Drosophila melanogaster: one gene and its partner. The gene in region 1 interacts genetically with each later gene. Each region holds a gene or a part of one and is shown in the gene's direction. Other genes may lie near its edges. The genes, in order: Trc8 and CSN6.

Region 1 (7,262 bases):
TGGGAGAAATCGGAGTTGAGCGTTGATAGACGATACAAAGTGCAGTTTCCTGCTAGACCAAAGATATTCTCGCTGTGCAGTTGCAAGTGCAATGAAATCACACGTAGACGGCTGAAATGAAACTGCGATTGGAGCCGCAGCCGTTGAAAAAGTGGGTCTAAATCGGTGGTAAATCGCCGAGGAGCGGGGGGGGGGAGACCATCGACACTTTGTACGTTGTTGTGTAAAACGATTGGCGCGTTAATCAACGTACAAATTTCCGACTTATATGGCCAGCGAATTAAATCGTTCCCCCGAGATCTTGGACTCGCCTGGCCAGACAACCTGGCCAACCAACTCGGCCAACAGCTCAGGCGTCCTCCTGACAGCTGCCGATTAGAACTGGAGCGATAAATTATACAATTGCCGTGCGTGAGACCCGCGAAGAGAGCGGATCCTGGATGCTTGGAGCCATCGAACTGGGCTCCCAGTAGCCCAGCGATTCCCCCGGCTCATTGCGCTGACAATTACACTGATTATGTTGAATATATGAGGCCCATATTGGGCGGCCAGTGCCTCGGGGAGTGTTAGCTATTCGTCCACGTCCTGCCAAAATGGAATTCAAATCGCCAGTGCGCACATTGCAGCCCCACGAAGTATGCAACACAAAACGCCAGCCCAAAACTTCAGAAAACTATGCAAATTAGCGGAATAAATAAAAACGAATATTGCATAAACTTTAGACACTCTCAAAGTTGAAAATGATCGTGGTTATCTAACACTAATTTGGGTGAATTTTTACTATAATATAATAACAATAGTAATAGTGAATGTATCATTACTACTACTACAACTAAAAGAAGTACTCGTAGCTCACACAAAAAATTCGACAAACATGCATTCCTCGTCTGTTTGTTTTGTTATGACCTGTGCAGTTTGTTTAAAATTCTTGTGGCGCGGCATGAAAAATCAATTATGTTAGTTGAACTTTCCTAGCTAAACGCTAAACAATTGCGCATAATTACGAGCGTTGCGTTGGGGACGAAACCAAAACGAAACCCAAATGCGGACTGCATCGCATTTGCCGTTGCCGTTGCCTCAATTTGTGCATTTGCATAGCAAAAAGGGTTGTGGATTTCGGTGGGGGGAGTGGGGCTTCTTCCAGGGGCTGTGTGCCACAAAACAAGAAAGAACAACAATTAAGGTGGCAAATGGCAAAAGTTAATGGCCGAACAATTGAGGAAATTCACGTAAATGACTTCGGGGCCCTGCGGATACGGATTGGATTGGAATTGGGCGCATTCGCAAGAATGCAGGAAATGTTCGCTTTTAGAACTAGAAACTGCGGGCATTTCGGGAAATATGAGCAGAGGAAATGTTTTAAGGGGTTTGCTCGTTCCTCTGTAAGCATAATGTTAAATGAAATACCTTACGTAATCGGATATTCTAGCCTGCTAGTTATTACTTTTTGGATTCAGCACAAATTTAAATTTCGTAGACAGCGCGCCAAGTTAACAGCAGCACTAGTCAACACTGGACATATCAGTTAACAGCTCTGTTAACACCAGCCTAGGCTGTATATTGAGTGAATGTAAAACTGTAACTATTAGAAACTAAATAGTAAATGCAGTTAAATGTTTCAACAATAACTGAAGCAACAAGTCGTAACCAAATTGCTACCCAAACCTCAATCGGCTTCAAGTTAAAGTAAACTCTGCCCAATAGTGTCTCTCTATCGCACACAGAAGGCTAGACCAGACCCTTTAGAACGTAGTTTTTGAACAGAATACCTAAAATTACCAGTACCCCAGACCGACACGCAGCAACACGCGCCGTTTCGCGGCTCAAAGGCAGAGGGAATTTTCAAAAAGCGCGCCACACGATCAGCTGGCAACGACAATCGATAGTCCGGCGAAAGCAGGGCCGCGGGGCAGCACTGGCGACCGCAGCGATAGGCAGCAGCACCAATCGATAGATGGGCCGCTGAAGAAGGAGGAGAAGCAGAGGAGAAAAACAAAAACCAATTGTGAAAAGTGTAAAGTTTAGAGCGCAGCGCAATTGTGTGGCCAAAAGCGGAGCATAAACGAGCAGCCTGCCGCAACGACCTTTTCCACGACGCGCCAGCGGGAATTTGCACCTGCTGCATGCGAACGCACACACACACGCACCCACACACTCACGCAGCCAAATCGTCATTCCGTCGTCTATTTTTTGTTTTTTTGCGAAATCCAAGACGAAGGCGAATCCACAACAAATGCAGATTGGAGCTCGATTGGCTCGCGATTAGTGCCTAGTCACGCGGGATCAGCAAAGCAAAGCGAGGAGGCCAAAAGCCCGGAGAAGGATACGGGATACGGTTACGGATACATATAGGGAGCCATGTCCGTGCGGACGAAGGTTCTCGGCCTGGTGGACGTGATGATGCGCGTGCCACCGGTGATGGTCATCGATGAGATACTAAAGATGGACATGGGCATGCAGTCGTGGCTCTATCCGGACAAGGACAAGGCCAGTGGCGCACTTGCTACGCCCACAGAAGCGCCAGCGGTGCCATCCGGCCAGGATCCGTTCACCAGCATAAAGGAGTTGTTCTCCCACATGACCACCTCCGCCCAATCTGTGCTGGAACAGAGCATCGAGAAGGCCTCCGAGGCGGCCAAAACGCACGGCATGCTCAGCTCCGGTTTCAACTCGCTGATGAACGAGCTGTCCAAGGACCAAACACTGGCGGATGTGCTCAGCACCACCACGGTCAAGTTCGTTTTATGCGTGTTCGGTGAGTCATCTACAGGGGTTGCGCTTAGAACGGTCACATCTATATATCTGCTTAGAATTCTAATGCTCAGCATATAAGGTCAGGGATGAGATTTAACTACATTTAACTACACGTCATGGTCAAGGATTAGTCAGTAACTTTCATAATAACTTAGATATGAGTTAAATTGAGATAACAAGTAATCGCAGAATCGAATATAATGCTTACTCAAGCAAAAAGGCCATGTATGTATATGAATGAATAGTTAGTTACCCCTTAAAAAGCGTGAATTGCAAGCTTGAGCATTCCCATTGAACCCAAAACGTAAACACAGGCAATTAAGTTATTTCGAGTTCATTGTTTTCGATCTGCCTGCGAAGTCATCCAGAATTCCAAGGGCCGCTTATTGGGCGCACTTTGAACGCCAGCGAAACGTAGATATATGCCTGACTCACAATCTGTGTGCTTTCTTGCAGCTTTCCTATCCGCCGCGTGCATCTTCATGCTGTGGACCCGGCACCTGGTGATGGTCTACATGTTCCTCACCTCGCTGGGCCTCACCTTCCTGTCCTACTGGTCGAACGTGAGTGCGCTGGCGCTGACGGAGCGCAGTCCCAGCATGGTGGAGGACCTCATGTCACTGAACACCACTAGGCTGCTGGACTCGGGCGGGGTGGTCATGTCGCTGGCGCCGCATCTGATGGCCCAGTGGTTCATGGGCATGCTGTTCGCCTACATTCACCTGGGACCGAGGTTCGAACATGTCCAGAGATCGATGCCCATCATCTTCGCTAGTCCAATTCTGTTGGCCATGCTGCCGCTGCCGGCGAAGGTGGTGCAACACCTGCCCGTGGTGGCCGTTTTCACGCCCATCATCCTCACGAAGATCACGCTGATGCAGAGCGCCATGGAGGCCAGTCGCACGGTCTACAACGGATACCAGTACGCCATGAACTTTGTGTCCAACTTTGGACTGTCGGCGCTCATTGAAAACGAATGGCAGAGGCTCAATGTGCCCAACGTTCTGAGGGTTTTTTGGACCATCAGGTGGGTTTCGTTTCCGAAGCGGTTCATTAATTTATGTTAATCATGCACGTGGAACATTCTAATTCTTGCATTTGGAGCGTTAATGTGTCAATGGAACAAGGCCATCAATCACAGAATTGAATATCCATTCCGAGACTTATGTTATTAATGGCCGAAGCAAACGGATTAACTGGTTTAAATGCATAATGATCGAATAGAACACCCTGCTTTTCAGACTAATCCAAGGCGGCTATGCCCTGGCCACGACGGAATCGGATGAGCCCCTGGATCTAATGACGGCCACACAGAAGCTGCTGGTCGACGGCTGTGAGACTATGACGGCGGTGCTGGGCATGACGGGCGTCATCTCGATGTTCTGCCACTACATCGGACGCGGCTTCCAGTGGTACCTGCTCACCTACGACGACGAGGAGAAGTCGCTGGGCACTGTCTCCGCAGTGCTCTTCTACATCCTCGCTCTGCAGACGGGCCTGACCTCACTGTCGCCGGACAAACGCTTCATCAGGCTGTGCCGCAATCTGTGCCTGCTGATGACCGCTCTGCTGCACTTCCTGCACAACATCGTGTCGCCCATCTTGATGTCGCTCAGTGCGGCACGGAATCCCTCGCGGAAGCGCCATGTGCGCGCCCTCTCCGTCTGCGCGTTCCTCGTGGTGTTGTCAGTGTCTCTGCTCTACCACCTCTGGTCGCAGCAATCCATCTCCACCTGGCTGCTAGCGGTTACCGCCTTCTCTGTGGAGGTCGTCGTCAAGGTGCGTGCGAATGCGATATGTACGCTTCAAGAGCTACAGCTACTACTTCTCCCGCAGGTTCTCGTTTCGCTGGCCACCTACACGCTCTTCCTGCTGGACGCGCGTCGGCAGTTCTTCTGGGAGAAGCTGGACGACTACCTGTACTATGTGCGCGCGTTCGGCAACTCAGTGGAGTTCTGCTTCGGCATCCTGCTGTTCATCAACGGTGCTTGGATTCTGATCTTCGAGTCTGGTAAGTTGGAGCGCAGCGTGTCCCGTCCTTGTTACATTAGCACATCAGTAAGCGCGAGTGATCATCACCGCATTCCATTGGCATCTGATCTAGCCATCTCGATATCATCGAGCCCATATTGTCCGCGTCCAGCTTTTCTGTTCTATGTGTGCATGTAATATTTTTATTTGGTTGATTTTGTGTACCGATAACTATAACTTGATAGCCCAAAATGCTACAGGCGGCGGCATCAGAGCGATCATGATGTGCATCCACGCCTACTTCAATATCTGGTGCGAGGCGCGGGCGGGCTGGTCGGTCTTCATGAAGCGGCGTTCGGCGGTCCACAAGATCTCAGCCCTGCCAGAGGCAACTCCCGCCCAGCTGCAGGCATTCGACGATGTCTGCGCCATCTGCTATCAGGTGCGTATTGTATTGTATTGCATGCAATATTGCACGTGACTCAACTATCGTTTTGCAGGAAATGTATTCCGCCAAGATCACGCGGTGTCGCCACTTCTTCCACGGCGTTTGCCTGCGCAAATGGCTGTACGTTCAGGATCGTTGCCCCCTGTGCCACGAGATCATGATGTACACGGACAAGGCGGATGAGAATGCGCCGGAGGCGGAGCCAGCGCCAGCTGCCCAGGCCGAGCAGCCGATGCGGATATACCCGCGAGACGTGAGTAACAAATGGGGATACTCTGTTGTTAGTCTCAATGTACATCTATTCCCTTGAACATGCAGGACGCCAACAACGCAGCTGCGCAGCGACGCTCTCCGGAGCGTGCTCCAGTCGAAGCATCAGAACAGGCGCCCGCCACCAGCTCCTCCAGCGCAGCGGCGACAATCGGGGCGGAGGCAGTGTCGGCCATCGTGGAGTCGGCAGCGGCTGTGGGCGAGGCGCGTTCGCTGGTCAGCGTAGCCAGCAGCAGCAGCGCCACTCACCGAATCAGCGCCAGCGGGAGCAGCGACAGCAGCTACATGACCGCATCCGCCCAATCGCCGCCGCCGACGGCCACCTCGGCTGCTGCTGTGGCCACGGCGGCGGCCAGCAATACGACGCACATGTTCCGGATGTCGCAGGACCAGCAGTAGTCGCATATAGGGTAGGCTAGGACCGAATCGAACGGAACGGGAGCGCTCGGCGTACCTTGCGTTTCTTATATATATATATATCTTACGACTTGGAAACGTTCTGTGCGTTAGTGTACTTATGTATAAATGCAAATCTTTGTAGCGACCCAAGGCTTCTCTATTCCCCCTGCCCAAAGAGCAATCTATTCGTAACACACCAGCACACCAATGCCCAGCACTCGACCACAGCACCCACCTTCGATCCTATATCGTCATAGGCACAGACATTACGTATGTATAACTCACGCAGCTATGCTTAACTAAATTATATACCATGCATATAATAGCTGAACGCTGATCGGCAATGAGACGATAATTCAAACGGAGATGATCTACATATGTACGTTAAGTTTATGGTAAAAAGTCGATTCAAAAATGTTGAAACATACACACACAAAAAAAAAATTAAATTAGCATTAAGTTTGCAATGGATGAAAGCAGTGTAAAAATCATCAGCAAAACGCTAAAACGCAAAAACGATAAACATTTTATGTGGTGAAGTCTGAAAATGATTTAATCAAGTTACCAAGTAAATCTAGTTAAAAACAAAACACGAATCAACGCGGATTGAAATGATTAAAAAAAAAAAAAAAATGATTTAAAAACGAGAGCAAGGCGAAAAGTTGCGTTGTATAATTTTGTAATGTAAAAATAACTTGTATAAGCAAATCCTTGTTTTGTTTTTATTTAAATTACCTATGTACGTTTATTTAGATTTAAAGTAATTAAACGAAAGAAGCGGAAAATACAGAAAACATTAAAACACTCTTATTGTAAGCGAAAACACACAGAAACATTGCTTCTCCTCCGGCCCTGTTGTGGGTAAATCCCATCCAGAGCTCTGCAACCGGGTAAGTGCAAGCTACCAATCCTCTCTTGGCTTTCAGCTCTGAACCTCAGAGGCTCAGTTGAAAATCAAATCGTTGTAGTTGCGGAGCAGGTGATAGGGAGACACACGGCAGCAGGTGGTGGTGCGCACCACGGTGATGCGATCGGCACGCTCAAAGTTGGCCTTGACCGTCTCATAGTAGCGACCATCGCTGGAAGCGAAATATTGATGTTAATCCCGCATAGAAATAGGAGTCTGATGTAGACCCACCTGAGCACCATGCAGCGCAGCTTGAGGCACTTGACGCGCAGAATATCGATGGCCTTCTGGCTCTTGTCGGAGAAGCGCAGGTTGTCCGGATCCCAGCGCAGCTCCAGCCGCTCCAAGTTGCCGCAATTCGAGGCGATGGTGTCCATCAGCTGGTCCACGTGGATGTTGACGCCCAGCTTCTCTGCGGTGCCCATAACAATGATCCTGCAGGTTAAGAAAGTTCAGCTCATAATAAAATGTCTTTTCATTCGATGACCAATAGTGTCGCCTACTTGCAGTTGC
Region 2 (3,869 bases), 6.9 Mb from region 1:
CATTGTAGCCGCACTGAGTGCTTTTTGATTGCCCGCCCAGCTCAAGGGTGCTCCACTGCCAGCCGTTTTATTAGCAGCATTCAAAGAGCTGTAACCCGGACTGCAAAAAGTATAAGTTATGACTCGGCAGTTAGGGAACTGGCTAATTGAATGACGTTACAACTTCCGTAACGAGACAAGCTCCACTCAATGCCCTTCGACAGCGCCAATGACCATAAAGAGGTGGGTCAAGTTGAGCTTTGATTGCGAGCAAGCCGCTCGAAGGAGGCGTGTGCTCTCTCTTCGGAACTTTCCCAGAATTCAAGCGTAACAAGTCTGTTTGCCATATGGTTCCCACAACCTTATTCTTAATATGTGTGATTAGACAAGACAACGTTAATCTGCTTGGACGCACGATAAAAATTACATCAACAATTAGAAAACAAGGTCTAGCTGTGCAACCTACTATAACTAGGGTATAATGAGTATATGATCTCTGTAAAATTCATATTATTTTTCCCTTTTTTTTTAGGCCCAGTTCGTGCTGTGCATCTTCCACACCCTCCGCGCCCTCTTCAGCAACCAGTGCCAGTTCTCCAAGTTCATCTCTGCGCTGCTCCTATTGAATGCATCCATTTTCTTCTGCCTCTTCATGAACTTCTACATGCAGAGCTACAGGAAGACCAAGGCGGCGCAGCAACTGCAGCAGCAGCAGCAACAGCAGAAGCAACAGCAGCAACTGGATGCCACGCCCTGCAAGGCGGACAGCAACAATAACACGGCGATGCTGGCGCAAAAGCTGAAAGCCAACTGAATTGAAAATCGAAAGCAGTGAGAAAAGTGCTTCCAGGGATTGCCCAACATTGGGGGGAACAAATTTTACATAAACGGACCAGATTGGTGATGGCAACGGACGGAACGGAAGTAGTTTTGGTACAAAGGTTTCAACTAACGCTAAGCTAAGCTTAAGAGCCATAAATACACGAGCGTGCACGCACACACACACACAACCACAGAAGAGAACGAAGAAGAGGAAGTCCGCCTTCCGATGATCGATCGATCGAGCATGGGGAACACGGGGCGTATGCGCAACATCAATTATAACTTGGCGATTATCCCCTCGCCAGCTTCGCTTGATTGCTTCGCTTCGCATCGCATCGCATTCTCGCCATCTGTGGCTGCATTCGCATGTGTAGAACCGTACAACAAACTGGGTCAATTTTCGAGATCTGCCTAATGTGTAAGTCGCCTAATTCTAGAACCTCACGAACGAAACGCGTTTAGTCTTTAATTCCCTTAGGCTAAGTGATTATTGTAATTGTAATTGTGTATAGACGATTTGTAAATAGCCTGTTAAATGTTAAATATTTGTAGTCCTAAGCCAACTAGTCTAACTTACAAAATTCGCACGAACAAATACGGCGAGCACGAAATTAAAAGCCAAGACAAATAAAAACGAAGAAAAGATAAATAAAATAAAACCGAAAACCAACCAACTGGGTTTCAATATGTTCTAAATTCACAGCGGAAAAAACTGAGCTGTATATTGGCAGGGTCTTTCGGTGCGAAAGAGATAAATAAATTTTAGAAACATATCAATTTTAGAAACTTCCACAAACGAATCTAGTGCATATTAAAAATATATGTAACCGAATTGACTAAAAATGCTTTAATAGAAATATATATGGTTAATTTGGCGCATAATTAAGCTAACAGGAATTACAAAACATAAATTCAAATATAGTACTCGCTAATACTATAATCGAGCCGGCAACGCCGACGTTCAGTTTAAAAAGGTTCGCGCCACTGCTTAGACTGCATAAGGTGTGGTCACACCATTCTGCTGTCCCGATAGATAGCGATAAGTAATATCGTACTACTGAGAGACCACCAATAACGATAACGACAGCTTATACCGGAGCTTGTCAAACAAAAAGAAGTAAAATTAAGTTTATACCGCAAACTACGTGTAAATAAAGGCCCCCCGACAGCATGGAGCAAATGGAAGTGGACGTTGACATGTCGGCCAAGCCCAGCACATCGTCCTCCGCCGCCGCCGGGAGCAGTATGGCAGTGGATAAGACTGCGGATCAAAACCCACAGCCGCAGGGAAACATAATGGCTGCAGCGGGCACCAGTGGTTCTGTGACCATATCGCTGCATCCGCTGGTCATAATGAACATCTCCGAGCACTGGACACGCTTTCGTGCACAGCACGGTGAGCCGCGACAGGTGTACGGAGCACTGATTGGCAAGCAGAAGGGCCGCAACATTGAGATTATGAACTCGTTCGAACTGAAGACGGACGTTATTGGCGATGAAACAGTGATCAACAAGGACTACTACAACAAGAAGGAACAACAGTACAAGCAGGTGGGTGTCCAAGCCTCTACATACGCTGCTTTACCAGCTGTTACTCTTTTTTCCCCAGGTGTTCAGTGATCTCGACTTCATAGGCTGGTACACAACCGGCGACAATCCCACTGCCGATGACATTAAGATCCAAAGACAGATAGCCGCCATCAACGAGTGCCCCATCATGCTACAGCTGAATCCGCTCTCCCGCAGCGTCGACCACCTTCCCCTGAAGCTATTCGAGTCCCTAATCGATCTGGTGGACGGCGAGGCCACCATGCTGTTCGTGCCCCTCACCTACACACTGGCCACCGAGGAGGCGGAGCGCATTGGTGTGGATCATGTGGCGCGCATGACCTCGAACGAGTCCGGCGAGAAGAGCGTGGTGGCGGAGCATTTGGTGGCCCAGGACAGTGCCATTAAGATGCTAAATACACGCATCAAGATCGTGCTGCAGTACATACGCGATGTGGAGGCCGGAAAGCTGCGGGCCAACCAAGAGATTCTGCGAGAAGCCTACGCTCTCTGCCACCGACTGCCCGTCATGCAGGTGCCCGCCTTCCAGGAGGAATTCTACACGCAGTGCAACGATGTGGGACTGATTAGCTACCTGGGCACGCTGACCAAGGGCTGCAATGATATGCACCACTTTGTGAACAAGTTTAATATGCTGTACGACCGCCAGGGATCCGCGCGCCGCATGCGAGGTCTCTACTATTGATATATGCAAACAATCTATTAAAGCTTCGGAGATAAATACACATAATCGTACGATGGGTGAATGCGGTTTTATTTCAGCTGCCGCTGGGCAGGCTACATACGTATACGGGTGGCATCAAGCGATATCACTTTCTTCCTGAGCTTCCAGCTCCTCTTGCTTCGTAAATTCAATTCAGATGCACAGACAACATTTCCTAGACACTAAATTAGGTAATTTCGCAGCGGAATTAGTGGTTGTAGTCGTCCAGCTTGATGCTGGGGGCATACTGCTGCAAGAACTCCACCTCCAGCGGATGCATCTCCTTGGCGGGAATGATGAGCGAGTGCAGCGGTCCGCCCAAATCGGTCGAGCGCATCTCAAGCAGCGTGCCAACGGCAATCTGCTGCGACTCCTGGCCAACACGGGCCAGTCCAACGCACAGTGACTGCTCGTTGAGCACTGTGTTCTTCTCCAGCGAGTCCTTCTTCTCCACAATGGACAGCAACTGATGAGCCGCCTCCGCCACGGTCATGAAACGCGGTGGCATGTACTCCTTGCGTTTGCGCATCAAGGACTCCGGCGTGGGCTCCTTCACCTTGATGTCCAGCAGGCACAGCGTGTGCATGTTGTGCAGGCGATTCAGCTTGATCTTGTCGTAGAAGCTGTCCGGCTTCCATGTCTCGTCCCAGTACGGAATCGAAACGGTCTCGCCGAATTTGTACAATTGCAGGCCGCAGCAGCCGACGGCGTTCATGATCGATGCATTGTGGATGACCTTGTAGGGGATGTTCTTCTCCTTGGCGCGCAGTATGAAGTCTGTGTGGGTGGTGGCGCC

What was found.
Region 2: of Trc8 (region 1) and CSN6, a change in one rescues a mutant of the other (synthetic rescue), as found in Drosophila melanogaster (one study listed by BioGRID).

Annotation. Positions count from the first base shown.
Region 1 is NT_033777.3:29,498,222-29,505,483, reverse strand, and holds Trc8 (TRC8 ring finger protein), read left to right. Parts: upstream 1-1,934; 5' UTR 1,935-2,358; coding exon 2,359-2,755; intron 2,756-3,210; coding exon 3,211-3,781; intron 3,782-3,995; coding exon 3,996-4,533; intron 4,534-4,590; coding exon 4,591-4,765; intron 4,766-4,970; coding exon 4,971-5,167; intron 5,168-5,225; coding exon 5,226-5,426; intron 5,427-5,491; coding exon 5,492-5,842; 3' UTR 5,843-6,459; downstream 6,460-7,262. Other genes in the region: FipoQ (F-box involved in polyQ pathogenesis), read right to left, coding at 6,786-6,921, 6,981-7,184, 7,253-7,262. UniProt on the Drosophila melanogaster protein: Plays a role in growth inhibition that is dependent upon COP9 signalosome subunits CSN5 and CSN6. May modulate signalosome levels or compartmentalization. Probably functions in the same or a related pathway to VHL during early midline development.
Region 2 is NT_033777.3:22,578,924-22,582,792, forward strand, and holds CSN6 (COP9 signalosome subunit 6), read left to right. Parts: upstream 1-1,849; 5' UTR 1,850-1,971; coding exon 1,972-2,352; intron 2,353-2,410; coding exon 2,411-3,055; 3' UTR 3,056-3,110; downstream 3,111-3,869. Other genes in the region: CG33110 (uncharacterized protein), read left to right, coding at 512-793; Dph5 (diphthamide methyltransferase), read right to left, coding at 3,282-3,869. UniProt on the Drosophila melanogaster protein: Component of the COP9 signalosome complex (CSN), a complex involved in various cellular and developmental processes.